Linked DNA regions of Drosophila melanogaster. Changing the gene in region 1 together with any one later gene gives a genetic interaction. Each region holds a gene or a part of one and is shown on either strand. Other genes may lie near its edges.

Region 1 (10,139 bases):
TTTGTCAAAATTAGTTTCCATTTTATTATCAGCACCTTATAGAAGGAGATAGAGGAGGCGCTGACGGGTTTCCGGTAGCTTTTGGTCAATAAAACCCACAAATTTATGACCTCTGAACAACGCTCCAAGCCGTTGTGGTAAAATATTTTATATACAAAATTAATTTTCGAATTTTTGTGGGTATTTTTTTACGGCCGTTTAATGTGTTTTATGCCTGGAGGTCTGGGGCATAATGAAATTGTCAACAAATTTAATGGCATGACGCAGTATGAGAAGGGGCAGATTACACAGTCTGCATTCTTCCTCTGCACAATGGCAATCTCCTTGAGTTGATCCAGGGTAATCTGCCCTCCATACACAAAGCACATTCATCTCTGCACTTGAGCTCAAGACGAATAAACAGAAACTGGACCAAAACTAATTGAATACCATTATTTGCCAGATTAGGACAACGCATAACAAATGGGCAAGGTTAGGCGGAGATTTGCATGGCGAACCCTTAACGAACTGTACGAAATGGATGCCAGGCCGGTTGGCCAGGCAATTGCATTTTATTGTAATAGCCAAACACTAAAAGGAGATCAGAGCTGCTGGGAAACGACCTTTTGACGATGAAGTCCATGTCTGGGCCTGCGGATAAGAGCCCTCATCGGACCTCGGTCCCGGCTCTTTAATGAACTTTTAGGCACGCACGTAGACGACCGGCATTAATTACAGACTCACTGCGAATCGGTTGCGAGAGTTGGAGTTTGGGTTCGCATCTTGATTTTCCGAGGGGCCAGCCAGACATTCTCCGGCGTAGCCTCCATTCGCCGGGACCGTGTTATCTGCAAACGCGCCATCAAAGTAGGTGGCACAAATTAACAAATCTTTCATGTGACCCAATTAAATCAACTCGAACCCAGCAACCGGCGGCTTTGCGTTCTCCTGAGCTCTTGGCCCCGGCAATTTGGCATTCGTCATGCTCGCCAGGCAATGAAAATAACCGAAGGCACTCGCCGATGCCTGGATTCTGGATACACGTTAAGAAATATAATCATGATGTGTCTAGGAAGTCATAATAAACACACAAATAAACATCCTGCATATATGCTTTTGGGCACTACCGTTTTTTTCAGTGTTGTGTTCCATGGGAAGCTTGAAATCTGTTTTGAGGGGAAACCAAGGATCGTCTGAGACCAACTGGTGGTTGATGAGGGAGTCGGTGCATCAAAATGGGTAATGAGGAGCTCCAAAGAAGAGGCCAATGGTTTGCCACAGAGAACTAATTCAAGGTTTACTTTTCTGGATCATGTGCAGGCGGATCTGACTCAATGCAAATTTTTCAAGTTCTTTCGATTCATAAAGATTCGTATTTAGTTAAGTATTAGTTTCATGAAAGTAAAAATATTATATCATTCTTCTTGGAGCATGGGACATTTTACGAATTTAAAAATAAAGTACTTTTAAAGCCTGGAAATGCTAAAAATAAGTTTTCTTTCACCACGATGTTATTCTTTTTAAAAGTTTTCCCAAGAAAAGTGTTTCCACTCATTTAATTACCGTCTGGCTTCATTTTCTACTTATTCTTAGTTAAGATATCTTAACAAAGTTTTCAAGAACCGCCCACTGCTTTAGCTCCACTCTACTTTTCTCTCGTCTCTGTACTCTACTAAAATCTTTTGCAAACTTCGCTTTCTTGGCATTCCTAGATTGGAGAGCCGGTAGAGAAGAGTCTTAACCCACAACATGCTCATTATGTAAATGCTGCCTGCCTCCTCCCAACTGCCACTCCCCCTTTTCTGCCGTTTCTTCTCCTGCACTTTGCCTACTATTATTATCTAGAGTCGGCATTTATAACTTTGTTGTAGTTGTGAGTTTGTTTCGCTTGTTTGTTTGCACGATTTAATGCTTCATTTGCTTGAGACTCAAAAGTGGGTGAAGCTAAAAAGGTTTGAGATTTGCGGGAGGGTCGTTGGAGGTACAGAGTTTCCCAGTGAAGTACCAAACAAGGTAGTGGAGTCTCCGTCTCAGCTTCATCTGCGGCTCTTAGCTGGTTAACTACTTAATTATCTTTTTGGTCAAATGGAGCCGCCAAATGGTTGAGACCCTGTCCCTCCATCTTCCTATCCTCTGGCTTATTAATAAACATGTTAAATGTAATTGTTATTCGGCGCTACCATTTTAGAGGCGTGGCTAATTGCTGGGCTTTAAGTTATGTAATTACCCAACCATCTACTGCGTAATCTTTGGTACAGAAATGAAAATCAGAGCGTGAGAAAAGGTAACAAGATTTTTAAAATAACTATCACCAAATATGTGGTCCATTCCTTGCCCATATTAAAATATTGTATGCCATGTTAATTTTCAAAGCTGAAATAGCTTTTGCTATATGGTATTACACCATCTTCTTAGGACCAAAAATGAAAATCAGACCGTGAGAATGAGTAACCACATTTCCGAAATATCTTTGGCATAGGGGATATCCTTGAAAGGCATTTTCCTGGTCTTTACACAGAGGTGTTGGGGTAAAGTTGGTCCAGAGAAACCACGAAAATAAATTTACAACAAAATGCCAGTTCTATCTATCTCTTTTTAGCCCTGCTTAGGCATCTCTTTCTTTCTTTGGCTGCACTCCCGAAAAAGGCATTTCAACGATGGCCATATATGAAAGTCATTGCTTCAACTGTTCCGATGGAATGAAGGCACGAAATGGACTCGGAATGCATCGAGAACTTGTTTAAGGAGTTGAGACCGCGAAAGAGACAGCCAACGGAGATGGGAAAGAGACAGCAACTGAGGTGAGACCACACAGGCAAAATGTTATCTCGCTCCATAAAGTGGCCACGTTTGACCTGCTCGAGATGACTGGGAATGTTGGAAGTCTGGCCGAGAGTCTGGGATTCTCTTCTCTACCTATTTTTGGTATCCTCCACCGACACTTGCCGGCAATTAAGTCGTTGGCCCAGCCACGATCGTTCACTCCGCCCCGGTTTCGTTTTCATTTTATCCCTTACTCGAATCCAACTTGAATCATCCGCGATCCACAGGATTCATTCTTAGAAAATTTGCTGACGATTCTTTTGGCTTTTGTTGTCACAGCAGTGGCTGCCGGCTGGGAGATCCCATTTCTGTCAGCATCGTCAGCTAATTACGCGAAATTGCCCAGATCTCCGATCTTTAGTGCGAGATATCTCAGCAAGTGTTGACTTTGTGGGCAAAATGTCTGGAATCCCAGCACCGATCACTGGATCAGATAGCACCAGCTGGTTTTTGAGATCGCCAAGCAATTGAGATGATCTCTCGATGGCTAAGAGTAGCCCCTAGGAACTGAGTAATTGTAATGGCATATTAGGGGGCGAGATCGCGTGAAAGAGTTTGCTATCGATCATGATCGCGTTTTTTAAGTGGTGCCTCTTGGCAAGCTTTCGGTTTACCAGATGTTAGGTGATCTAGTTTAGTGGGTTGTCAGTGGCGCTCAAACTTTGTGATCGCTCGTTAATGCTTGTTTGCTAATCATATTAAAAAAGCTTCATAAGTTTTAGATTTTATATACCCAAAGCCAAGTTCCAATATGCGAAAAGCCCCCGTGATAAACGCACCATTTATCCCCTCAATGACCTCATAAACAAACACCAGACAGCAACTCCTACTCGTTTATATACCCCGCCCTATCTAATCTGCATTCCAATCGAAACCCGAACCCAAACCTCCTCCATACAATGGTCAACAATTGCAGAAGTATATATCAGATGATCACACGCCGACGACGCCGATGAAGATGATGATGATATAGTGCCATATAAACCGCTCGCTTAGTTTCTTCCTTTTACACGGCCAAGGAATGCGACAGTGCAAAAAAATACAAAAAAAAAAATTAAAGAAAAGGGCCCAAAGAGCGAGTAAGAGAGAAACAGAGAGAACAAGATGGGGCCATTCAGTTTTGGTTGCTGGAAAATGATTAATAGTCATGCGGTGGTTGCCTTGAAGCAGGCGGGATGAGGGGGCGGTCAGGGGCAGTCGGCGGATGCAGTGCAGCCAGTGGAGACGCCATCGAAGTGGAGCAACCGTACACGGAAATAAAGTTAATGAAGATTCGGTGATTCGTATATTATGCACATTAAAGTGATGTTAGAATAGTTAATTGTATTCCCAAAATTATTGAGGGGCCTAAAATGAAAAATGTACAGTTAACAATATATTCAAATTTTTTAAATCAAACTATAAATATGTTTTTTTTTCAGTGAGTGAAAGCACTGCTGCTGTGCGCAGTAAACTAAAATCAGCTCTGTTGCAAATTTCTTTTGGCATAAGGCAGACAAAGATGGATAATGGATGGGAGAGAGATGCAGAATAGGAGGAAGCAAGGTGATCGTTTCTGTGTGGGAAATTTGTTGGTTGGCTCGAAAGAGTATTCAATACCTTACAGAAGGGTTGTACCAAGGATTTGGTAGTATTATTTAAGAAAATTAAGAATCTTGATGATAAAATTTCAAATTTTTGTAGAAGAAAATGCCTTTTACGTTCACTTTATTAAACAAACTATAGAATAAGTATTGAAACTATCGATAACTTTTTATGAAAATCACAATTTAAGGGTATTTTAAGTTGCGATCTACAAAGCCAATCTTCCCTCTGCATCGAGTCTCTCTTGCCCGCTCCTCTGATATTATTTTTAACGATTTAATGTTTTGCGAACTGTTTAAATTGTGCAAACAATTTCAGCTAAGTGCCTGCCTACCACTGATGATGATGGCGAGCCGGGGACGATGGTCAAGGGGGTTGGGGTTAAAGTGGGTTCGCACAGCTTTTTGATGTGGCACAGGAAGTGCAGCTTTAATGAAGCGTTTAAGTGGCAGCTGTAGTTGTTGTTTGCCATGGTTGTTGTTTGTGCAGCACGGAAGGTGTCATGCAGTTGTTGTTGCCCAATGTTTGTTGCTCTTCATGGTTCAATGGAAAGGAATGCGCCTGAAGTGTGAAGATGAGAGCGCTGGGAAATTGGCCAAAAACACTTAGACGTGACTGTTCAAAATTTTACCTTAAATATATGTACGAAATTTTTGCTTGGCAAATATGGTCTTGGGTTTTTACAGCATTTACAGTATTTAAATGACATAATTATATATTAAAATCAAACTATCTAACTAGCTACTTTATATATATATTCAACGAAGACCAACCTTAGTCAATTTGAAGAACTTCCCTACGACAATATGTTGGCCCCAAAAAGTCTACGTTTCATAAACTAGTTCACCTATCGCAAATGGAAGTTTAGCTTTATCAGACGCACAGCCTCACCAGTTAGCTGGCCTACAAAACCACGAAACTCCATCCAGAAGACCCTATAAACACCTATCGCAAAAGTAGTTCCCAGTTAAGCAATTCGAGAAGGCATGGGAAAAGAACAGGTCGGAAACTTTATCTAAATGCTGGCGCTTATCAGGCGGACAAGGCGCGAAGGGTGGGGGTCAGGTGAATGGAAAGGGAATGGAAAGAAGCGAACGAGAAGAGAGGACGCAACACAAGAATTTATGACTCACACGGTGGAAAGAGAAGCTGTGCACTGGGAAAAATTAAATGTAAAGAATAATGGCATTTTAGCTTAGCATAAATTTAAGAAATCTGTTATTAAAATTTGTCCTATTATAAATAATTTTCCATTTAAATATTTAATTGTTTTATTGTTTGAAAAGCACTGAATAACAATCACATGAACATGAATAAAATGTTAATACGTCAACATAAATTGAATTATTTATTGATTGCAATCCTACTGGACCAGAAAAACTTATTAAAATATTATTTACGGATTAGCTTTAATAATTCGAGTGCATTCGTTTTTTGATGGCCAAGGGACGGGGGTTCGAGTTGATCGGGAAGTAAAAGGTTCACATAAAAATGCCGACAGAGAATAAAAATCCTGAACTGCATAATTTAAACGATTTCAATGACACCTTGATTAATATCAAAGACAACACAAAAGGGAACTCGAGAACTGACCACTCTACCTGTTGGCCCCTCATCGCCCCCCTCCCCCACAGACATTTCCATGAAATTATGAACGAAACGCAACGCAACGCGCAATGCATTTGACCAAAAGATAAAAAATAAGGAAAACATATCGGGAGGGAAAAAAAACCAATCAGGCAACGTTGAAAACCAAAAATAAACAAAGGCAGGGCGCAGGTAGAGGACTAAAGGAGGGGCAGGGGTATGGACTGGAACAGGGGTATGGGGTGGGGCAAAAGGGCAGAGGCTGCAACAGTTTACCTGGCAACAAATCAAACAAAGAGAGACAGAGAGAGAGGGAGAGAAACTGAAGGCGACGAAGAGAGGGCAGCGCAACTTATTGCAATTAAGCGTGATTAATTCAGGATTTATACAAATTAAGTAAAACCCACAGGCGATCGAGGTCGAGGCTAGGTCTACCCCTCTCCACCCCTTATACCCCATTAAACTATGTGTAAAAGCGGTGTGACAACATTTTTGCTCTTGCACTAGGTAAAGAGCCTGTAAATGGGTTCCACAGTCCAATATCTTTAAAAGATTCGTAAACTTTGTAAAACATGGCATCTCAAAATAGAAATAATTAAGAAATCCTTAACAGTTTTAAATAACTCTTATAGCATATCCCATAAACATATAAAAGGTAATTCACGCAGTTCACGCCAACGATGCTCTACTGTATGCCCGCGCTCTTCTCATTTTATTTCCTTTTTTTGTTCATCAAAAAGGAATTTCTTGAGATTTTTCGCTGCGGCTGCTCCTGCCTATTGGACTGGTCTTGGAAACTGGAACCCTTTGCCCCCACTGGGTAGGAATGGACCGGGGGCAGAAATGGGGGCTGCGATGAGCAGGCGACGCATGCGCCAAGATCTCTGGGATGGACACGCTCTCCGCGACGGACTCTCTCTTATTTAGAGCCTGTCTTGTGCTGCTGCTTATTCGCATTTCGAGTTGATTTGCCTGGAATTTTATTTCCTTCAGGGGGCGGAGGGAGTGGAGGGAGCTCTGCAGGCGCGTTGAAGGAACAGAATGAATCACGGAATCGTCCAATTTATACACGAGTTCTCTTTGTTCCTTTGCGAATCAAACTTGTTTCTTATCTCCGGCAATTTACTATTGTTATGAAATATACGGATTCTTTTTCGGGTAATACCAATATTAGTTGCTTTGAGTTTTTAATTCCATTGGATAAATAATATGGTCTTTAAGCTTATTAAATAACTTTATTAAAGATTATAGTCCATTTTTCCATACTAACCATACTTTTCCATACTACATATATCAATGTAAGTATACATTTTAAAAGATCTGATTGCCACGATATGGATTTTCTTATCTTTTTTGCATTAAGAATGGCACTACCTCAACCATTTCGCACTTTAAACATCGCTACAAATTAAAATTTGTACTATTTGAATGACACCATATGGGAAGGCAATAAGTTATAATAAGCCTACTAAAGTACCAGAGTTCTTGAAAATATCTTTAAGTTTTTTTTTTAATATCCTTCACTTAAAGCGTATTTCAAAATTAAAAAAAAATTTTTATGATCTGAACATTTCACCCACAAGAAGTAATTATAACTTTGTTTAAAATTTAAATATTTACAATAATAAATATTTCTCGACAGGTATTTATTAAGCCATTGGTATATAATATCGGACATACCGTTACTGGGTTTTTGGGGAATTTCGATGGCATCGATTCCTCTCGCTTGGAAAATGTGTGTCACAGCACTGCAATTCGGACTGAATTGATCGATGATCGAAGACCCTGCTACGCCACCCGCCGGATTGGGGGCGGCAAGGGCGGCCACTTGGGGGGCGGGGCCATTGTCCGCTTGTAAGGTGGGCGGCAAGTGGGTGGTGAGTAGTAATAGTAGAAGAGGACTGCTGAATATCACAAGGCGGGCAGTTGTTGTTGCTGTAGCTTTTCTTCTGCAATGCAGATGTTGTTGTTGTTGCTGCTGATGTAGCATTTTGATAACTCTTTCTTTATTTTAAGGGGAAAGAGAGAGCGAGAGACAGGGCTAATTTCACCGGCGTTTGTTGTCGTTTAGTTTCGATTGGGATTCAAATCGTTTTGACTGTGTTTGTTCTTTTTGCGGTAAATAATTTTGGCAAACGCAGGCACCCACACTGAAATACGCACACTAATACACCGCTTTGTTTGCCGGCATTATTATTATTATGAAACTTATTTTTGTCGTTTGCGTTTATCAGTGCGCATTTTGCGTTCAGAAGCAATTGAAGTGCAACATGGTTGTCGGGTGTTATTAAATCGGGATTATTAACAATTAACAAATAGCGGCACACGCACTGCACATAGACGCACTCGCTCCAACACACACGCACCCGCGACGACGAAAGGCGAATTGAAAGCAAAGCGCGCAACGCAGGAAGAAGCAGCACAGCGCGTGCTCGCGAGTCGGCTATAAAATTTTGACTGAGAAGTCTCTTTGAATTTCGACTGCTTACCGTCGATTCTTTTCAGCCTGCGCTTATCGATTGGTGACCGCGGCTATCGATGTCTATCGCCTTACACCGTTTTTAGGTATGTACAGTGTCACTAGGCTATGAGAATTCCATTCTGGGAAACGTTTGTTAGAAAGTTGTGAAATTTAAAAATAAAATAACGAAAGTTTTACAAGAAATAGATTGGTCCTGTTAATACATACATACATATAAATTATTATACATATACAATTATACATACCATAAATTTTTTTTGTTTGCAAACACACGACTGTATATTTATTAATTGGTTGGTAAGCTAAATGGTTTTTGAATAATTTAATCACAAAAAGTAAAACTTCCATGTCGCGCTTATAGGCGAGATGAATGCCTATTTAATCACATTTAAAATATTTTGTGTACAAAACAAATAGTGTGGACATCTAAATTTATTCGAAATATGTGACATCGATAAAGGAAGGTCCACACTATCGAAAGCCACTATCTAGCCGCATTGTTCATCTCTAAACCAGCTGTTTTGGCGGCAACCAGTTTTGGTCTGAAGCAAAACAATGTTTATTTAAATAAAACGCAATTTAAATAACAGCCCAAGTATGGCGCATGAAAGCGCTGTGCACGAGGCGCTGAAAAAGCATTTTGGCCACTCGAAATTCAAATCGGATCTACAGGAAAAAGCCGTGAAGTGCGCTGTTAAAAGTGAATATTGGCCAAATTCTTACCCAATCTCGCAGATAATACCTCTCGTAATTCTCTTACAGAAAAGCAGGATGTGTATGTGTCGATGCCCACGGGCTCGGGTAAATCCCTGTGCTTCCAATTGCCTGGTTTGATGTCAGAGAATCAAATAACCATTGTTTTTTCTCCGCTTTTGGCTTTGATTAAAGATCAGATAGATCATTTAACCAAACTGAAAGTGCCGGCGGATTCTTTGAACTCCAAGATGAGCACCAAAGAAAGGGATCGTGTTATAATGGACTTAAAGGCCGTGAGAACCAACCTGAAGTTTCTCTACATAACCCCGGAACAGGCCGCCACCAAGTTTTTTCAAGACCTGCTGCAAACCCTCCATAAACACAATAAGCTTGCCTACTTTGCAGTCGACGAGGCGCATTGTGTTAGCCAATGGGGACATGACTTTCGACCGGACTATCTAAAGCTGGGGGAGCTGCGTTCCAAATATTCCGACGTCATCTGGTTGGCTTTGACTGCCACAGCTTCAAGGGAAGTCAAGGAGGATATATATAAGCAGTTGCGCCTCCACCAACCCGTGGCTCAATTTAGCACTCCTAGCTTCAGGAAAAACCTCTTCTATGACATTGTTTACAAGAATTCTATCGAAGATGACTTTCAGCACCTGGCAGATTTCGCCAGACACTGCTTGGGCAATCCGAAGGAGTTTAAGGATACACCCAAGCCACAAAGAGGCTGCGGAATCGTATATTGCCGGACTCGAGACCAAGTGGAGCGCATGGCGATAGGGGTAACTAAACAGGGAATCGGAGCAGTAGCCTATCACGCTGGTCTGAAAACAGGAGAACGTACTGAAGTCCAGGAAGCGTGGATGCGGGGTGATCAGCCCATTATATGTGCAACCAATAGTTTTGGAATGGGTGTGGACAAACCAAGTGTGCGCTTCGTTATCCACTGGGATGTACCCCAAAATGTGGCTGCTTATTATCA
Region 2 (10,419 bases), on another chromosome or scaffold:
CAAAATCCACCGTTGCCAGTGGACTTCTCACACAAACTACCTGATAAATTGAACGCGCATATGTTGACAGCAATACAAATGGCTTGAACAAAAACACACGGAATTCCTGGAAACGTTTTCAATTAGCACTCGATTGCAATTATTAAACATCGAGGAGTTCTGTTAAATGTGAACAAATTATTCATAAACATTAATAAATGCCTTCACCAACGCATCATTAATCATCAGCTGTGGTAGTTTGAACCTCATTTAGCCGGGATATCATTTGGACACATTTTTAACTTCATATTTAGATTTTTGGGCGAAGGGCGATTTGCCAAACCAAAATCGCACAAATTTATTGTTTTTTTTCGCGATTTTAATTGCTTTTCTTCGTATATGTACATGTGCGAGTGGGTGAGTTATTCGATTTTTGTGTTTGGTTTGTGAAAAACCACATGTGATTTTCCATTATTAATTTGTTTTCCACGTAAACAAACACGAACTTTTATTGATGTTATAAATGCGGTTCTTAGCGCCGTCCTTCTTTGGAAACGAAATCGCGAAAATGTGCAAATCGGAATGCTTTTAGAGCTGAGTGGGCCTGTGGATCAGGTGTCCGAAATATTTTCAGCAATTGGTTAATCATAATCGCATGATGTTTCAGTTCTCTTTGAACATTTATGAATTGTAGGCTAATCTAAATTCTTTGAGTATAGATAAAGCATGACAACGGCATTATTATTGTTACTTTGGATACATGTTTAAAAAGTATTTGGTTTTACGTTTGTTTTGAAACTACAACAATGATAGACAGTGTAAATATTGATCTGCATCACTACTATTTCAGAATGTTCACTATGTGTGAATGTGATCTTTTGCGGTGGATTTTCTATCTTGAAAACGATAAAAAATTTTAAATTGTTTACTTTTTCTAGGGTATCATTTCATTCCGTCTAGCAGTTGAAGACAATTTTCTCGTTTTGTTTTCTTTCCTTTGTTTGTTGGTGGTTTGCTCTTCTAGCCACACTGCCTATTCATTGCCCACTTTATCCTTTCTGGCCCGGAGTGGAACCAAGTCTGGGAATTGCACTGGGTTGGTTTTGCTCTCATTTTGCCTTTTTTCACGCTTATTATGTGTTGTTTGTGGTTTTTTGTTGTTGGCTTTATTTTGCACATATTTACTATAGGTTTGTGTACATATATATTTCTTTTCGGTTTAAATGTTGTCAGACAGGATTTTCCACTTTAATGCAGTCGGCGTCGCTGCCTTTTGGCGCATTCCTGCCGCACAGCTCATCATGGATCATGCTCCTTTTTCCGCCGCCTACCTCCTCGTCACCCTTAAGTTTTGGGCTCAGCTCAGCCTGCGTGCACCACTCCACAATCCGTGGCCGCAATCCTTCCTGCAGCTGCTGAAGCTGCTCCTGCTGCCGTTGCCACCATTCAGGTTAATGCAGTCTTTATTCATTTCATATTTCTAAGCGCATTATGTGCTGCGAGCCACGCTCACAATATTAGCAAAAATTATGTTAATCCCTTCGGGCTGGCTGGGTAATGCTTACTGCCCCGTCCTTGCGGCCTTTAGCCAGCAAACGGAGGCGCGTTAAATTATTTTAATAGCCGCTTACAATTACCAGGGCCAACCCTCTCGGTTCAGGGTAATGTTTTTAATGTTTGACGCGATTTGCTGGCTTTTCACTGGCGTTTTTAAACGCGCCTTGCGGCCAGACATGCGGCTAAGTCGTAAAATAGGACTACAAACCGATGGTGCACGATAAGTTAATGGTGCGTCTAGCAGAGCAAAGCTAAAAATAAATACAATTTACTATGCTATGGCTTTGAATTTAGTTATTTTGATGAAAAATATACGATTTAAGAAGTACATAGGATTTAATTTCTTAGACATATGGTCTAGCCGAAAAAACTAATATTAAGCATGCCCTATTTGAATGTCCCACCGCCGACCTGCGTCCGTCCAGCTTCCTATCTCTAATAGTTTCTAAAACTTTTCAATAAAACTTAATTCACTACTCAATTAACCCAAGATAGTGCGAGCTCGTCACCCATTGTCCTTATCAGTTTTCAGAGGGACAAAGAATAATTGAAATTGATGCCCCAGTGCATGTGTTAATTTGCACTTGCCTCACTATTATAGTGACATGCATAACCAACTGCTCCATTGGGCGTTCAATTTTCCATTCATAGAGCGAAGACAGTGAGTATGCAAATGCAAATTGAGGCGTTTAAAAACGCTTGCAAATCGCGCACCGCAATTAAACGGCGCCCCAAACGCGTGCCCCATGGTACACGCCTCCCGGCCGATTTTATGGCTGTATTTAATGCGAGCCATGTTTGACGGGGTATCAGCCCATATAGGCATAGTTTGCGGCTGGCTAATGACTCTGCGTGGGGATGGGGATGGGGAATCGCATGAATCGTCGGGGAATGGGGATGCAAATGGGAAATGTCGGAGACGCCTTTTCCACTCATTAAGTGGTGTTGGTCAACCAGTTCCGAGGACAGCATGATGGATTGCCGGCCAGCTGAATAATTCAGCCACCAATCGCTCATTCAGCTGGGCATTCATTCATTCATCCATTCGGTCGGCCCGTTGACGTATCGTATCGAGCGGACCAAAACCGAAAACTAAAACCGAATCCCAAACCTGATTGCGGTAAAAGGCCAAATTGGATCGTTCTCGTTGCCTGGTCGGTGCCTTGGGGCCAGCGTTAGTCATCGTCATCATCATCATCATGAGCCTTAGCCGCCTTATGCCGCTCCCGCTGAATTGACCGAATTAAAGCTCTGGGATTGCGTGGAGCGGGCAAACCAGTTCCTGGCCGCCACACTCCAGCTCGGACTGCAACTCTAAAAAGACCAGGAGAAATTGCCACAGTCAAAACAATTAGACAGACGGGCCAGACTCGTGTCTTCAACTTGTTGCCGCGGCGGATAAAAGTTGGTGTCTTATGCTGGGAAAAGTAAAAAGTGTCTAATTAAATGCTTGTCCAGACTGGCTTTGGAAAATACAAGGTACTTCAATGCAAACAAATCTGTACGAAACTGAAATACCCTTAAGACATACTATTAAATTTAAATTTTTTAAGCTTGTAGCGCATTTTTCAAGCTTTCGAAATGAATTCCCTGAAACTATGGGACACCATTTTTTGCAGAATTGCAGAGATATTATTTCTTCTATATAAACAAAAAATTATCTTATCTGTTGATGTTGCGACTTAATCATATCATCTAGCAAACAAATCTTTTGTTTTACTTCGAATTGCCAGTTAAGGCAAAAAGTTGTCTTGCTATTGGGTATCTGGTATTATTTAAAAATTCCCACAATTAGTCAGCAATCGGTAAATTTTAAGGGTGGTTTCGTTATACGCATTAAATTAAATTTCCTCCAAGCGATTAGTGAATGGACCCGGTCCAAAAGGCAAGGCACAACAGGCAAACAACAATTAACATAAATTGCTTACGCGATGCGGCCCATTGAGTGCCGGCAACAAGGGGTTAAGGGGTCACAGTTGCCGCCCGTCAATCATTCGGTCAAACGAACAGCGGCACTTGAATGGTCGAGCGAAAAGGGTTTCCCATTTCCACGGCTGCCAGTTGCCAGTTGCCAGTTTCCAGTTGCGGTTCGCTCCAGCGGAAACTTCAGAATGCACCTGTCGCAAGGCGGCGGTAGGTGTGATAAGCATCTCATCACAACAAAAGATTAACACGCCGGGGAGGACAAAGAGCAGAGCCCGGTCATATGGGCAGGTCTCCGATTAGAGACGCACAAGGGATTCAAACGAGCTGCCTGCACACATATGCACTGCTACAAATAACTAGCAAGAAATGTATGGAACCCTAGATACAATGTATACTCATAATACAATTAAACTGGATTCTAAAAATTGCTGCTGAATATGGATGCTTATTTTACACACATAATTGTATATTGATGCTAGGTGTTCCTACAGACAGCTCAAGTTTTCTCACAGTGGTTGCTTAGATGAACAGGAAACCGACGGGGAGGAGACCTTGAAGACCCTACGCAGGTTGTATTGCAAGCAGTTAGTTAGGTAGTAGGTAGCCACAAGGCAACACCTCTGGCTTGACAGATCGAGTTACCAAAGAAGCACCCTACTCCTAAGTGGGTCACATTACCAATGTCAAACGATCGAAGCCAAGCCTTACTTTCACTCAGGAATATTGAGGAAGTGCTGTTGAACAGTCGGTAGAACAAAGACCAAACAAGTTGGGATGCCTGATGAGGACCACAAACGACTAGTATCGCATGATTTGCTTGGATCAGTCGATCTTCCCCCCGTAAAACTAATTTCAAGTTATGATCAATAAAAAAACCTTTTAAGTTTCAAGCGAGAACAATGACTCCTAGGGGGAATTCGCTGATGCTGCGCTTTCAATAGCCAACTTTAATGATCTCAGCAGTTCCGTGGGCATGCAAAACATCCATAAAATGCACTTCTTACCTCAGGCTATATCTAAATATATATATATATCTGTTTAAACTTCCAGTAGTTGTAGTTTTAACACACTATTGCGATTGTGATCATGAGCGCTGTCTACCGATTATTTGGACACTTCAGCTTCTATTTATAGTTCGCGTCGTGCCGAGCGGCTTCGAATTAGGTGATAAACCCGGTAATTGGTTGTACAATCGCGATCGATTAATAGCTTCCTCAGTCCCACTGACTATCCCCAGATGGGTAGTACCGTCCGATCCGGTAGAGTTCAATAAAACTGGAGCCGAACAAGGCGGAGATAAGCTGGATACACCGCCACAAAACACAATTCATAAACGAAGGGCCGGCTATCTGGGCCGATATCTTCTCCTTCAGCTGTCGAAAGACTGCCCACGAAATTGCACTTTCCGAATTATTTGTTATTCATTATTACGTGGGTTAGCAATTTTGACATGCAATTCGTACTTTCAACAGGGTTTCTACGGGTTTTCCGAACTTTTGGCGCACTTTTCTCGTGTCAGATGGTTGGTTTAGAAATTCTACGCTACTTTTATTTTACAGCGCGCGTTAGCTTAGTACGTAAATATAAATTAAAATCCGTATGCGACCAGTTCGTTCCGTTCGAAATTATAAAAAACAACAAACACAGAGCAGTTCCCACGCGCGTCCGAACAGCTGGTGAATATTTTTTGAAAAACCCAACAACAAAATGCGCGTGTTGCTTATATAGTTTGTTTGCCAGTGTGGCCGTGCTGCAAAGTGACCAAAAATCGTTTTTCGCACAGAGAAATCTGGTATTTTGCGTTAAAACAATACGGTCATCATTGCCCTAATAACAGTCCTCTGTAAAAATCCATAAGCGGGAAGTTTAAAATTGATTCGGAATGCAAAGGTTGTGAAATCCAGAACAGAAGTCTTTCCTGCAGATAATACAAGCAAACTTAATTTGTAATCTTCATAAGTACAGGAACATCCCATAAACACAAATACCTGCTACACGAGTCTAGCAGTCTAATTTTAAGCTCATAATCTCAGCAAGATAAATTGCTAAAAGTATTTGATTGCACCCATCTTATAATGTTGTATTAAAAGCATGACATTTTTCTTAATTTTTATGAATATTTATTGTAAATGTGTATTTCATTTCAAAAATATGTTAGAACTATGGCTTATATGTTGATCGATAAGCAAGGAGAACGAGAGAACTGTTCTGTTCCAAAATTGCTGTGGTATTACTTTTTATTAGGTTAACGAAAGTTCATGCAAATGATGCGGGTGTGGGCTATAGTCGGGGCCTATGAATTTTCGCCCTTCTATTCAAAAAAAATGAAAAACAAAACGCACACGCGACAATCGCCACATTTCAGAGGCAACAATATCAATGGAGACGAAAGATTTGGGTAAAGAGTATATAAATTATAAACTAAATAACGCAAATTAAAAGTTAAATTTGATGTGGCAATCTAACATACCACAGAGAGGCGAGACAGAGGGAGACCGGAACGCATCGGATCGGACCAGACCAAGAACCACTATCCACTATCCAGCGTTGGGCGCAAGTCAACGTTGGATGATGCACAGCAAATCCGTGAAATGACAACGACAGGGGCGCGAAGGCCACGAAATACGCGGTTCCCTGGGTGAGCTAGTTTCTGAAGTGCGATCCAAAGAAGGCGACAACAAAGCGTGTGAGCCTGTCCAAGCGAATCCTAATCCCGACCGTTAGGCAGATGCCGAAGAAGGGGCGAGGCTCGAAGAGATGCGGCCGAGTCCGAAACTGTATGATTTAGTCCTGTCCAAGGGCAACGCAAGTGTTCCTCACCGTCAACGATGCCATCGACATTCTCCTCCTCCAAACATCCGTTAACCTGAACACGACCAAAGTTCACACATAAAATCCTTCAACAATGCGAAATTCCTGTCTCCTCCTCCTCCGAGGTGCGAGTTAGCCATGGGACACTGCATCCCACGTTGTCCTAGCGAAGGGCTCAGAACAATCCTAAATCCAAATCCAATCCTGATTACAATCAAATAAATATTTTCATATTTATAAGATCTATAGACAGGTCCTGCCTCCACTAAATTCAATCCAAATTTATCCAATCCACGCCAAAATCAACATCAAAATATCCTCCTCCACATCCATTAATCCTCATCCTCCACATCCTCATCACTCTCCAAACATAAACGCGCAAAATGGGGAAGAGAAGAAAATAAAAATTAAAGTATTAATAGTTTGCTTATCAATGTGGTTGACATTGCGTTGTGTTCGGATTTCTGTTTCTTTTCTTTATCTCATTACAAACATATTTATTCTGTATCGATGTTTCTTGTTTTCGTTAAGGTAGATTCTAATAAATTAGCTTGGAAAACGTGCAGCCAAAATAAGAGTTATAATATAATATGTAGGAAGCAGACTGAGCAAAGGCTCAAAAGATAATCAAAAGCAAATCAAGGAATGCCGAGTGCTTTTGGCCAAAGAGAATTCCTTGGTTTACAGTTGTCATTTTAGAACTGTTTTTGTCAAATTTTGCCCGGTGGATTATAACTTAAGAGAACATTTCTGCTTCTTAGAACGTGTGATAAGTTGGAAAAGCAAGTGTTTTTCTTTTTTAAGTATGTTGGCTTCGGTGAGAGTTCGGAACTTGACTGAACAAACTTGATTGGTCGTTGATTTCATTTTACAAATCAATTTACAATTGGGGTATTTGAGGGGTCTTGAACAAATATTGATTGGTATTTCCTAATATAGCTTGCTTTTCCTGTTTCCTGCTCATTAAAATATTATAGATTAATGGATAATGCTTGGTTGTGTTTAATAGTTAGAACGTGAGCGAGACCTGGAATAAGATTGACGTCGCACTGGGGAGTATGTGGGAGTGCCACGACGGCGCGGCCTCGACGAGAATGAGCGCGAACGGGATCTGTGGAGGGATTCATAGAATAAATATTGAAAAATGAACTGTGGTAATATTTGGTTTACCTGTCGCGGTAGTCACGGCTTCCACCTCCGCCGCTGCCGCCACCACCTCCACCGCTGCCGCCACCACCACCGCCTCTGTCGTTATCACCGCTATCCTCGCGTACGCGAATGTAGGCAACCTCGCCCTAAAGACAATAAAAATATTAATATCATTTGAATAATGTCGCCAAACTATTTTTCAAAATGTAAACAGGAATGTGAACTAGATGTTTATCAAATTGACACATTTAAGGGCGTAAGTGTAAGCATCTACACCAATATAACTTAATGTTATTCCTGAAATCATATTTAATTATTCCAGCCTGTGAATAATGTATGCTGACAAAATAAATGCAAAAGTAAATTCTCTACCTTGAAACCCGAATACATTTGAATTTTACAAAGTTGGAACTGGACAATTTACATACCTCATGCGATCGGAAGCGAGAGTCGTCCAATTTTTTGATTGCGTACTTCATGTCCTCGTGGCGCAGGAACTCAACGACGCCGGAACCATCCTTGTAAGTGTCCGCGAAGCAGACGTCGCCGGCCTCGCGCATGTGATCCTTGAGATCTTGCCACGATCCGGAGGCGGGCAGTCCAGTAACCATGACGCGGTACTGCGAGCGCTTGGCTGGCGGTCCGCGTCCGCCCATCCGTCCCCCACCGTCGCGGCTTCGGTCATTGCGGTTGCCGCCGCGGTAGCTTCCAGGACCACCGCCCCGCGGGAACTCCACGCGCAGACGATACCCATCGTAGTCGTAGCCGTCGCGCGCCTTCACCGCATCGTCGGCATCCCTAAATTGGGCCAAGAGGCAGCCGGAGGATATGGACCATGGTCAAGGAAGGAAGAGAAGCAGTTGTCGCGAATTAGTTGGGTGTCTTAGCCGGGGCGCTGGGCCAGCTGTGTGTATTCGCATTACTCACCGCGCATCTTCGAACTCAACAAAAGCAAATGGCGGCCCACGCCGATTTTTCAGATCGACGAAAGTTACTTTGCCGAACTTGTGGAACAGGTCCTGGATATCCTTGGTGCGTATATCTGGGGGAAGGTTGCCCACATATATACGGCACTCGTTGCGTGATCCCATTTTCTCCAGTTTAAATCAGACGCTTCGATCTATTTCGATTTTCAGAGAACTTATTTTTGTCACGCTCACAATGACAAATGGCCGACGCAGTATGACCGTTAGTTCGAGTTGGGTAAATCCCTTGGGTGCACAGTAGTTATCGATAATTATAACGTTGATACGAAACTATAGGTGGAAGTTTCGTTGCTTATATCGATAGCTACCCTGTAAGTACTTACTTCGCTTAGTTGGGAATTAGAATGAATAAGTTATTAGAATGAAATAAATTAAGAAGTTTGTGGAATTTCCTCGGTTAAAGGTTATAAGGCAGGGTAAACATAATGTCGTTCCTTTCATTTATATTATAATTTACCGATAGTTATTGCCAATCACGCCGAGCTGCAATGTATTCGCGCAGTGTCACCACTAAGCGTCGTTCAGTCGAAGAAAAGACAACAAATATTTGCATGTGCAATACACTAAACATAAATAGCATTTCGAAAACCACTGAGCCACCGGAAAAATGGCTGCGGCCGGAAGCAACGTTCGCTGCATTAACTACTACGACCTGTGTCGCATCTGCACGGACAGCAGCGATCACAAGACGAACATCTACTCACCCGAGGGACGCGCCAAGAATCTGAGCCAAAAGATACTCGAGTGTCTCTCACTGCAGGTCGTGCTAGTGCATCAATCTCCCATTACTTTTGGCTAACAAACCCATACTTCTTGCAGATCGATGAAAAGGATCGCTTGCCCAAAGTGGTGTGCGCCCAGTGTGTGCAGTTGGTGGAGCAAATCCACGGACTTCGCGCCACTTGCCGTAACTCACAGACCATGCTAAACAACTGTCTCAATATTCGCCCGGCGCCAAGCAGCGACAAGCTATACATTCGGGATGCGGTCGATGAAACTGGGAAGAGCCTCAGTGTGGCGCAGTCAGCTCCACCAGTTCCTAATGGAGCTCAGCAGTCCGGAAATCTCTTGAACAGCATAATCCAGGCGGTAAACATGCAGCCCCAGCAGCAGTACACCATAACGATGGACAACGGGGTACAGCAGCAGCAGCAGCAGCATCAAGCTATGCCGGAAGTTCAAATAAAAAGCGAAAGACAGACGTGAGTGGGAATTCACTTTCATGAAAATCATCTCAATAACATTCTATCCACTTAGTGCTTTGGAAGAGTTTATACGCCTCAAGCCTGACATCAAGATAACGCCGCTGGGGAAAAAGGAGCCCATATCGCCTGCCAAGCCCCAGCAGCAACATTCTCTGCAGTCCCAGACAGTAACGCCTACCATAAACCCTACTCAGTTGCAGTTACAACCGCAGCTAGGCGATCAACTGCAGCCTTTGTGGCAGCAGATTCAACAACTTCAGCTTCAGCAACAACTACAGCAACTGACCAACCAGCTGCAGGCTACCACACAGTACTCCGTCGCTCAGGATGATACGTCAAGTTCTGGCGACAGTAAAAAGCCAAAGTTGAACTTTGTGCTCTCTTCGCCTACAGCGCCCCAGTTCACCACTTCAATGCCGCAATTCGGTGGCAGTCAGCCGCAAATACAGCTGCAGTTGATGCCAGGTAGCGGAGGAGTGACAAGTGCAGGGACAGTTCCTGCCCAGACGCAGCTAAATGCTGCTGCCCTGCTCTCCAGCCTGGCGGGTCCGCAGTCGACAACCAACCTGCTGTCACCAAACAAGTGCTTTCTGCCTATCACCATTCGGGACGAGAATTCGGATCAGCAGATCGTGGCGCACATAGACACCAAGAACCTAGTGTTGCCCACGACATACCAAGTACAGATGAAACTTCAGCCTCAGCTGGCCACTGCGGATGGCCAGCCAATCATGCAGCTGACACCAACATCAATTCCGGCTACTCTGCAACTGACACCGCAAACATTGGGCAATCCAGGAAGCGCC
Region 3 (11,165 bases), on another chromosome or scaffold:
GTGCTCTCATTCAGGGCATCGCTAAAAAATAATTACATATTTCTTATAGGCAAACACGAATGGTGGGAAAACGGAGAACTGTACCTGTGCAATTCCTCGTAGTCCGGCGGCGGATCATCCATACGTATGCGCTTTCCACCGCGACGCGCCATCATTTTATGTATTTGACTGTCTCACTGGTAAATATGGCTTCAAATCATTTAATTTTAAATTAAACAATAAAATTTGACCAAAGCGTCCGATTGATACAAGTGATGGAACCACAACCCACAATACAGTGCAAAAACAATCGAAAGACGCAATCGGAAACAAGGGATGCAATTAAGAAATAAGAGTGGCTTAAACTTAAAAGAAATAAAATACAGCTAAAATATTTAAATTAATTATTGTGGAATTTTCGTTAATTAATTAATAAATTAATTAAATAATTAATTCTTTTTTTTCATGTCCATAATTATATTCAGCCCTGGTATTCAGTGCATCCATATATCGATAACAACTGCTAGCCGAAAAGCAAGAAGAAGAACCAAAACAATATTTAGTTAACGAAGCATAAACAACTTAAAATCGTTGAATTATGACTGACTTTGGCGGAGACTCGGGTGGCCGACTAAAGGGCGTAACTATAGTAAAGCCCATAGTGTATGGAAACATTGCCAGATCCTTCGGCAAGAAGCGCGAGGAGGACGGACACACGCATCAGTGGAAAGTCTATTTGAAGCCCTATTTCAACGAGGACATGTCCATTTACGTGAAAAAGGTGCATTTCAAGCTGCACGAGAGCTACGCTAATCCGAACAGGATCGTAGTTAAGCCGCCCTACGAGATTACCGAGACCGGATGGGGTGAATTCGAGGTGATCATCAAGATATACTTCAACGATCAATCAGAGCGCCCGGTTACCTGCTACCACATCCTTAAGCTCTTCCAATCGCCTGTGGTCGATGGCGAGCTCTCCTCTAGCACCACTATGGACACTAAGAAGGGCCTGGTCTCGGAGTCGTATGAGGAAATAGTGTTCCAGGAGCCCACCCAGATCTTGCAGCATTATCTCCTGCTTTCAGAACAGAGCGCCAATGGGTTGCTAACCCATGACACTGACTGTAACTATGAGCTGATTACCATTTTGAATGTTTACTCATTAGATATATACTTTTCTAGTTGAGGAAAAGAAGACGAAAACGTTGGACAACATTGTGAATGTAAAACAGAAGGTCAAGGGGGAGATTGTTACACTTAAGGACAAACTAAAGCTGGCACGTGAGACCATTTCGAAGTTCAAGGCAGAATTGGCGAAGGTGCAGAAGCAACCTGCGTAAAATGTGCATAATTCTCTATAGAAATAATCTAAAAATTATTAATTAAATAAAATATTGGAAAATGTATTTTATTATTTTAACGGTGATATCCAATTCTTGGCTTCGGGTAACTAATTCAAATCTAACAAAACGGTTTAGGACATAATTTTATAGTATTGCAAATTATATCGATGGCTATTGATGTGGATCAGTGCAGTCTCTATAAACAGCTGAATTCATAATTCTATATAAATGTACAAAGAAACTACACTTCAAATTCATTGACTATGGTGCCATTGACTATATAACGTCGTAAATCTTACATGATTTGGTGTTTATTATTTTCTAAAAATATATGTAGCTTTTGTATAATATAAATTAATATTAATATTACTAAATATTTTTTTACTTAATTAAAATCAATTTAATAACGAGTGCTTTTGAGTAAGTTTCAATATGAACTGAATAAATGAATTTGATCTGATACCAGATAGATTCAGTCCACTGTACCGCGATGAACCGATGAATTCGGAATCACCGGTTCGCCGGTGAACGATGCAATGCATCTGAACCAGCGTCGCGGTTCGTTCTCCAGTTCCAGTTCCAGCATCCCCATGGAATAATAAATGCCATTGTTTATTTGACTTGTTGAGTGCATGTGCTTGTCCGGTGGCTTCGGGGCCCGATCGAAGCCCGAATTAAAGATACAATGATTTTATGGAGCTGCGTCGTTAACGTGTAATGTGCATAAATAATTTAGGCCCACGATTCCACGCACGCACACAGACACACATATGTATATAAGCCATAAGTGATGCGCGATAGCCGAGAGTGAAAATTATTAACTGCGCAAACGCAAACGCGTTTCCCCACCTAGAATCAGTCTAAAATCCCATAATAAGGTGAGTAATGCCATTAACTCTTAATCCTTTGAGTTCAAATATTCAATGATATTTTCGTGAAATTTTCAGTGCCCCCTCCAATGACGCTGCTCACATCCTCGCTGCTGCTCTTTTCGCTGCTGACGTCGCGGCTCGAAGCAATTCCGGTTTTGGAGAAGTCCCCCGCCCATCCTGCCCACTCTGCACATCCCGCACATCCCGCACATCCCGCACATCCCGCGCATCCATCGCCTGGCGTGCGAATTCTTCGCGCACCCGAATCTTTGGTGGCGCCCCTGGGAGACGAGGTGGTGCTGGAGTGCGAGACCAGTTTGCAGCCAGAGCGCTTCGAATGGAGCCACCGGTCCAGCAGATCTCCGGGAGCGGGGTTCAAGTACCTTAAGACAGGCACGGCCAAAGCGAATGTCTCCCAGGAGGCGGCCATCTCGCGACTGAGGGTGCTCGTCCGACCAGACACTCTAGGCGAGTACCGATGCGTTGGCTGGTTCGGTCCGCTGGTGGTCACGTCTACCATTGCTCGATTGGAGCTGGCCAGCACTAGCCTGGTGGACGCTCAGGAATCGGAATCACCCCTCCAATGGCGGGTGTCTGCTGGAAACTCTGTGCTCTGGTCCTGCGGACAACAGGTGCAATCGAATCCATCTGCCAGTTGGTCCTACTATCGAAACGGAGTGGAAATCAAACCGGAGTTCATCGGAACCAATGGAAATCTTTTTCTAAGCAATGTATCCTCCGAGTCGTCAGGCAGCTATTCCTGCCAGGCAACCAATCCTGCCTCTGGCGAGAGAATTCAGCTGCCCGGCTCGCTGCAACTACAGGTTACACCAGAGCAGAGGTCGGAGAGTAAATCTCCACACTTGCTCAGGGGACAGCCGAGCTCCCAAGAAATTACCATACGCGAAGGGAGTTCGCTGTTGCTGCTGTGTCCTGGAGTTGGCTCACCGCCACCGACGGTTGTCTGGAGCAGTCCCGATGTCGTGGGAGCTGTTAAGAACAAGCGTTCGAAAGTATTTGGACACGCTTTGGAGATATCCAACACCCGAGTTAATGATGCTGGCACCTATATTTGCTTTCAAGATAATGGAGTGCGGCCTGCGTTAGAACACTACATAAAAGTGCATGTCGAGCAGCCGCCTCAGATTGTGCGACCACCCTGGGCCGATCTTACCAACGAGGGCGATCGTTTGAAGTTGGAGTGTAAGGCCACAGGAGTGCCAACGCCAGAGATCTACTGGCTGCTGAACGGTCACAGCAGCATCGATGATTCTGAGGCTGAGCTCTCCAATAATTTCCTGATATTGCACAGCGTCTTGAAGCGTCATGCGGGCTATGTCCAATGCTTTGCACGAAACAGACTTGGTGAGCACAGTGCGGGTACACTGCTGCAGGTGAATCCCAAGCAGATTCAGGAACCCCGGGAATCGGGGGGTACACACAGGCCCAAGCCCAATCAGGGTTCCAGGCAGAAGCAGATGTATCCACCGACTCCTCCAAATGTAACCCGACTTAGCGATGAATCCGTAATGTTGCGCTGGATGGTGCCCCGAAACGATGGGTTACCAATTGTCATTTTTAAGGTTCAGTACCGCATGGTTGGCAAGCGCAAGAACTGGCAGACAACCAACGATAATATACCGTATGGAAAACCGAAGTGGAACTCCGAGCTGGGCAAGAGCTTCACGGCTTCGGTGACGGACCTGAAGCCTCAGCACACCTATCGTTTCCGCATCCTAGCCGTTTACTCCAACAATGACAATAAGGAAAGTAATACCTCGGCGAAATTTTACCTGCAGCCAGGTGCAGCACTTGATCCGATGCCGGTGCCAGAGCTTCTGGAGATCGAGGAATACTCTGAAACCGCTGTGGTGCTGCACTGGAGTCTAGCCAGCGATGCGGATGAACACCTGATCACTGGCTACTACGCCTACTATCGACCCTCGTCCTCGGCAGGGGAATATTTCAAGGCAACCATTGAAGGAGCCCATGCTAGAAGCTTTAAAATAGCACCCCTCGAGACGGCCACCATGTACGAGTTCAAGTTGCAGTCCTTCAGTGCCGCCTCTGCATCCGAATTTAGTGCCCTTAAGCAGGGGCGCACCCAACGTCCCAAAACCAGCACCACAGAGGAGCCAACACTGCAAATGGGCGACCGCGATACAACAACTCCCAGTCATAACGAGACATTCAATATGAGTCCCATGCTGACGGGAACAATCGGCGGCGGGGCAGTGCTCATTCTGCTTCTGATTAGCACCTGTTTCTGTGTTTGCCGGCGTAGGAATTCCAGAAGCCGGGGAAACAATCCAAACAAGCCACGGATGGCGGAGCTGAGAGATGACTTTGTGCCGCTGGGCAACTGCTCGCCCACCAAGCAGCGCCAGCGAACACGACACATCCACATAACCTTGAATCCACTCGCCCAGCAGCAGCAGCAGGCGCTGGAGGAGAAGAATGACACAGACCAGGATGCGCCCTATTATCAGCGGCCGTCGAGCTATGACTACGATCCCACGCTGCGCAGGATGTCCTCCTCCTCGCTGCGTCGCTCACAACGCACGCTGGAACGTGCTGGCGGCAGCAATGGCTCCAACAACGGCAACAACAACAATCTAAATCAATCCGCAGAGGCGGGTTCCATCGAAAATCCCGGCAAGCCGGGTCGTGTACTCATGAAACGCCCCCGTCTGTCCAGTCGCTCCGAGAACCTCTCCTCCGGCAGCCTCAACAGCGTTGGCGTGTAATCGCAATCTCGTGATCTTTAGTCTGTGCATCCCTACGCCCGATGTACCATGCTATTCCTCTACCTCTGTTTTATCTACCACTTTGAATGACAAAACCTTTGCTGTTTGTACTTAAATAGGTACTTAAATAGACATAACTAGATTTATGTATGCATGATCGTTTAAGAACATAGCATTATGTCCATTCTACGCTAAGTCTTCCATTTTTCGCGATAAGATCAAAATCTGTACTGATAGCTTCTTAATGACCTATACAAAAATGACAATAAAGCTTGTAGCTTCACCTTTTAACCTTAAAAGAGTTTTTTAACATAAACATAAAGGATTTAGCCAAAAAAATGACATCTCAAGCTAAAAGTTAAAAAACAAAATTATAATTTAAATCTTTGGTATATTTGCGGTATATCAAGTGTTGAAACAGTATTTTTTCGCATTCAATGAGTGGCGTTAGGGATTTGTGCAACATCCGATGGCGTTTGGGATTTAATAAGCTGTCAGCCAATAATTGGGTCGTCGTCAAAATTTCTATTAAAATCGTTTCTATTCCTACATATTTTGGCCGGAAAATCAAATGAAGCTGTTACGCTAGGGACGAAGCTGCACCTTACCCGCACCGAACGTAAGACACTGCTCGTAGGCCCCAGAAAGTGCACAAATTTAAGCGGTTCCCTTTGTTTTCGCAGTGCCAGCAGCAGAGGGCCTGGCCCCCGAAAACAATACAAATCCAAAAATCGCAACTGGACTGAATTGGGCAGGATGTCGAACCTATCCGTGGGCCAGATTATAATGGATGCGCAGCGCATGGCCAGTCGGGTGAAGGACCTGGACGCCCTGGGCACGGCGCTGCTCGAGGAGGCGGAGAACAACAATCGGCTGGTGGAGAGCCTTCGCCAGTATCAGGACGACATTGAATCACTCAACCGCATTTCGAACAACAAGACCAACGCGGACATGGTGAATCGCATTCAGCAGCAAAACATCAACAGCTCGGAGATACTCAAAGAGAATCGCGAGCTAAAGATCTTCATTGAGGACTACGAGCGTGCCATGGAGCTGATGATGCAAAAGTATCGCGAGCACACCGTCTCCAAGGTCCTGGATAGCAAGTTTAGCTTTAAGGAGCTGTACAACGAACGCATGTGGCAGGTGATCCGGGAGCAGCGCGAGAAGATCAACGAAATGGCAGCAGTGATGCAGCTAGCTGCAAGTGTAGATGACGGTGTCGTGCAGCGAGAGCTGCAGACCATATCCCAGCTGCGTCTGGAGAACGAAACGCTGCGCGAGCTGCTGCAAATCTCCAAGCAGTACGGCTCCTCGCAGCGACCGATTCGTGAGAGCGACCACCTGCTGGAGGAGAAGGCTGTGCAAACGGACAGTACGGCGGACGACTCCGCCGACGATCTGTCCATATCGGGCGCCTCGGTGGAAAACATGAACAACAACTCGGTTATCCAGATGTACAGCAGTCCGGAGCAACCGGCTAAAGTCGCCGGCACCACGAACTCATTTAACACTGCACCAGTGCATAGTCAAAGTGAAACACAAGCACCAAGTGTGACATTGGAGACGGCGCCGCCGGGGGAAGAGCCGCTGGCGAATGATAACAATAACGGACCTGCAGTCAACACAACCAGTGCACCGCCGCCAGCGACGACGTCTAACGAATCTGTCGAGGATCAGGCGACAGTAGCGCCCGCAACATGATAGGTGCTGCTGTGCAACGTTGTTGATTCGTTTGGTCTTCATTTGAATCGTATTTACTCACCCACTCACAAAACAGGCCGCGCACGAAGAGGGCCCACATAACCTGCATTAGCTCTTAGCGATTGATAATCTCTAAGTAATTTATACATAATACGAATTTCAACATATTGTCCATACGCATTGAGAACAATGAAGTTTATTATTTAAAACGAGGTAAACACACTCACACCCACACAAATGTAATGTACAATGTACCCTGTCGATTTTATGGTTTGCTAAATAAATTCCAATACAAATCGGGGAATAACCAAAGGAATGAGCATATTTAATTTAACATACAAATGTATTTCAGTAGTGTATTTAAATAAGATGTAACTTTGCTTTAGATTGCTACTCCGTAAGCTAACTAATTCTTAAGTTATTTCCCAAAAGATGTTACGAGTAGAATCCCATCTATTATGCGCCCCTCCCATGAATTTGAATATTTTTGTTAGAAGGCTTTTTAAATTTGGCCATTCTAAATCCCAGCCAAACAGAGAAGCGGTTAAATAATTCATTGGATATGACTCATTGCTTATCGAGTAAGGCTGATCAGAACTTGATATACACACATACTTGTGTGGAGTTTAAATATGAATAAAGTATAGCCACTAAAATTAACATTTGCCACAATGGTTATCAATGGTTATCGAGCAGAAGATTTATGATATAGTCATGTTAATTTTCAAAAAGTCAACTTATTACACAATGAACCAAGTTGAACAGAATCTGCCATGAGAAAAAAAAACAGCAGTAATAACTATAATTTTAGAAGCTTAAGATTCCAAAGGCAAAATATTGGGGTTTAAAAAATTTTAAATAATTTCATTATTGTATTGTTTAAGTTTAATTTGGTTATTAATCAATATGGAAAATTAGGAAAACCAATTTTTTGAATAGATATTATTGAAGTAATTATTATTATTATTAGTTACAGTGTTTTTTTTCTTTAATTCTATCAAATACATTTTTGTAATTTTGATAAATATGGAACCTGAAGTGTAAAAGTAATATTATATGGATACCCGTAAAGATTTATGGCTGAAACTTTCAATTGGCTTGGACTTGAATATTTTTGAATAATTTTCGAATCGCTCTCATCGATTCTCTGCGCCAAAATATCGGTTCTCTTGAGGAAAACACTTTTCTCGCACGACTGGTAGGTAGTTGAAGCTTTCAGAAATAATTTAAATTTAGTTTCTCGTCGATTTTCAACGCGTTCGCAGCCGAAAAAAAAGTGCCAAGGAACTGCGCCCGGTTCGCATGGCAGCCATCTATATAAGTATTTCGAGTGCTCGGGCAATCGACGGTTATATTAAAGCTATATAAATATATAGGCACATACGTGCTTGGCCTTTGTACATGAATGTGAATCGGGTGAAAAATTGAAAACTGCCTGGATCGCATGGTTGATATAAAGATATATCCCTCTAATAATAAGCTATTGATCCAAATCTAACGATATTTCCGGAGAGTCTTGCATTTGAAAATCGTCTGGGTAGATTTATGGGAAGTGCGCTGCCATTTAGCAAGAAGAAAACTATGCTATTTATAAAACACAGCCAATTTCTGTGGCCGTAAATGTTTTGTATAAAGTGAATATTCCAAAATTAAATCAACCAAGCAGCAACCGAGTGTTTGTGTGTGTGTGATCGAAAGTGAACGAAAGGCTTTGGGGATTCCAATCCCTGTAAGAATCTACATATGTACACCAATGCTCCAAACTGCTGTATAATCCGTGTCGAAACGCACTGAATCCCGACGGTTACGCAACCATCAACATCCACATCCACTTCCACATCCAAGAGGCTGGCCCCATTCCCCGTCGTCCAGCCGCAAATTATTCTAAATGCGGAAGTATTTCGTGTAAGTCCACTGCGTTCTAAATTAAGTCACACATTTTGCAAGTGCCAGCGCCGACGAAAAACAGAGCGCCTTAGATGAAAATAGGTTAAAACGCTGGTAATTATTTATAAACGCACTAGGGATTTGCAATCATCGCAGCAGCAGAGCGCACAGAGAAAGGAGTGGTGAAAGCTCCGCGCTTTCTCTTCGCCTTTCTCTTCGCATCGCGCTCTTTCGTTTGAGTTTCGCCATTTTCGCCAAAAGAACAAAAAACATGCGCAAGCGGCGGAAAATCGCCTGCGCAACTAGCTTCCACCTGTGCCAGCTTATCTCGCTCTCTTTCTACTCATAGATCGCTCTAAAAATACTCAAATAGATGGATACATATTTGTTATTGTTTATATTTACCATTTCCATTCGATTGTTTATGCCTGACTGAAGTGACAGATATGAAGGATGATTTGAAATTGAATTAGAAAAGTCAAAGTTTAAGGATGTGAAGCTTTTGTTGTTAGGAGTTTTTTCTTCAATCATAGTACTAGTAACTAGTAAGTTACTTATCATTTTTTAAGTATTCTTAGCAATGGTTACATTTAAATCCAGATTTTAAACATTTTTATAATTATAGTTAAAGTTAATATTTGTATATGTGTATCAATGCGAATATAAGAATGCATATTATCACCTCTTTTTAAAAATAGAATAAATTCCAAGATATACATACATATGTATGTTAAATCGACTTGCTGATTTCCTTTTTTTAGTAAGTTAATTTTTAAATCAGTTTCATTTTTTGTTTCTCAGAGTTAATATATCTGTCTTCCAATGAGGGATAGTTAATTAATCGAAGGCATTGATCTACATCTGCACTTCCAACTCACGTTGACAATAGCCATCAAACCAGGCAGCTATTCAATTTAGAACCAATGGCCAAGTGAATGATAACGAAATGTAAATGTTTAAGTATTTGATGAACGTGTACAAAATTCTTTTGTCGATTTGGCTTAGTGCCAGAAATTCCACAGACTTGCGCAGTCAATTGGGTATTGGGATCGTGCGAAAAGTACATAGAAATAGCAAATGTAAATTTAAAAGATTTTAAACAAAAAGAAAAAAATAAATAAATAAAACCAGTAGTGAGATGTTACGCATACCGTGTTAATTATAAAATAAAGCGTTGGCTTGAGAGGACTTCACACTTCAACTCTTGCAGAAAAAGAAAAGCTGATAAGTTGTACGAGAACAGATGCATCATCTGTACCCATCGCTGAAAGGCGACCAGTTGTGCCCACTCGGCTTTCATCCCCAGACTCGGTATCCCACGCGATGTAAGCGCTGCTTCCGGGATTACAAGGAGCATGGAGCCCGCAGAGCCGGCGAAGAGGTGGCCGCCTCCTCGCCCAATCTCTCCGATGCCCAGAGTTCTCGGTAAGATCTTCCCGGGATTTCCACCTTTGAACATACATAATACTTTATTTTATAGACCCTCTTCGCGGACGTGGACGTCAACTCAAAATCTTACCAGTGCAAACGCAACTAATGGCAATGATATAGGTATGAATGCCACTCGCAACGGTTAAGAAATCTATAAACTTTATGATTAAAATAAAGACGATCACTTTTGTTTATTGTTAATCAGCGCTAGAAGCTAACTTAACTTTGTAGCTGAGTGTGTTCTCGCAAAAAATCATAGTAATGGTATCGAGAACGTGGAATAAATGGAATATTTATATGCATTATAAGCTTAATCTATTTAATAGTATTTGTTAAGTTGTTGATTATAATGTTTGTGTAGAATTCAAATAGTTTCAGTACCCTTGTCAATCGGTTATTGTTTTAAGTATTAAAATTGTTTATGTTTAATACATGTATTAATTAAAAAAACGATTTCTCAATGCAACTAGTAAACTAGAAAAATTTGTCCAAACTCTTAATTTCACTGTTTTATACTTTCATAAACCTGCTAGAAACATAACAATATATGTAGTTTTTGAAATAATTTGGTTCTTAAAGTATTTTTACCATTGAGAAATTGTTCCTCTGACATTTAGTTATAGTAAGTTGCTTAAAAAATTGTTACGAATCTTAATCAATGTGTTTGTCTACTTATCTCTCTCACTCTCACTCTGCGTGTGCACAAAAAACCACCGCCAACTGTGTCATCTCTATTGCTCTGTGTCTGTCTCTGTCTCGCTCTCTCTTACTTTCTCTCAACACTAATCTCTGCATTAAATGAACCGTTAATGTTAACTACTACCATGCCACGCGTGATCTGTACTGCGCTCCCACGCTCTCTCTCTCGCTCGTTCTGTGGCATCCGTTTGTCTCACTCTCGCACCCACGGCTCCGAGTGGAATCGAACGCTAATTGCAAACTGCAACTCGCAACTTGCACCTGCATGCAACACACCTGACGCCCTTACTGAGCCTAGTTGTCCACTTCAATGTAGAGCTGAGGAAGCGTCCGCAGTCATGGGCCTCCACGCCGGATATCGACGAGCCGGACAATGTGGCTCGCCGCCCGCCGGCTACGGCATCCACCAGTCGAGCAGCATCCTCCGCCGAGGATCAGGATGTGGCTGTCACTGTAAAGCTGCCGGTTCCACCGCGACGCCATACCACCGCCTTGGACATCAA

Evidence for each region.
Region 2: of dlp (region 1) and Sulf1, changing one enhances a phenotype caused by changing the other (phenotypic enhancement), as found in Drosophila melanogaster (one study listed by BioGRID).
Region 3: of dlp (region 1) and ihog, changing one enhances a phenotype caused by changing the other (phenotypic enhancement), as found in Drosophila melanogaster (one study listed by BioGRID).

The regions. Positions count from the first base shown.
Region 1 is NT_037436.4:14,630,897-14,641,035, reverse strand, and holds the start of dlp (dally-like), read right to left. Parts: upstream 8,436-10,139; 5' UTR 7,964-8,435; coding exon 7,654-7,963; intron 1-7,653. Other genes in the region: RecQ5 helicase, read left to right, coding at 9,053-9,155, 9,218-10,139.
Region 2 is NT_033777.3:16,333,379-16,343,797, forward strand, and holds the start of Sulf1 (sulfated), read right to left. Parts: upstream 6,198-10,419; 5' UTR 5,933-6,197; exon of another isoform or gene 5,565-5,932; intron 5,166-5,564; exon of another isoform or gene 4,467-5,165; intron 1-4,466. Other genes in the region: SF2 (splicing factor 2), read right to left, coding at 7,276-7,384, 7,444-7,568, 7,851-8,220, 8,350-8,513; pad (poils au dos), read left to right, coding at 9,016-9,168, 9,228-9,610, 9,666-10,419.
Region 3 is NT_033779.5:6,939,529-6,950,693, reverse strand, and holds ihog (interference hedgehog), read left to right. Parts: upstream 1-1,885; 5' UTR 1,886-2,200; intron 2,201-2,269; 5' UTR 2,270-2,280; coding exon 2,281-4,941; 3' UTR 4,942-5,230; downstream 5,231-11,165. Other genes in the region: SA1 (stromalin 1), read right to left, coding at 1-21, 85-155; Gas41, read left to right, coding at 578-1,103, 1,162-1,319; Fgop2 (fibroblast growth factor receptor 1 oncogene partner 2), read left to right, coding at 5,698-6,645; CG18304 (uncharacterized protein), read left to right, coding at 9,776-9,957, 10,013-10,083, 10,961-11,165. UniProt on the Drosophila melanogaster protein: Mediates response to the active Hedgehog (Hh) protein signal in embryos, functioning upstream or at the level of patched (ptc).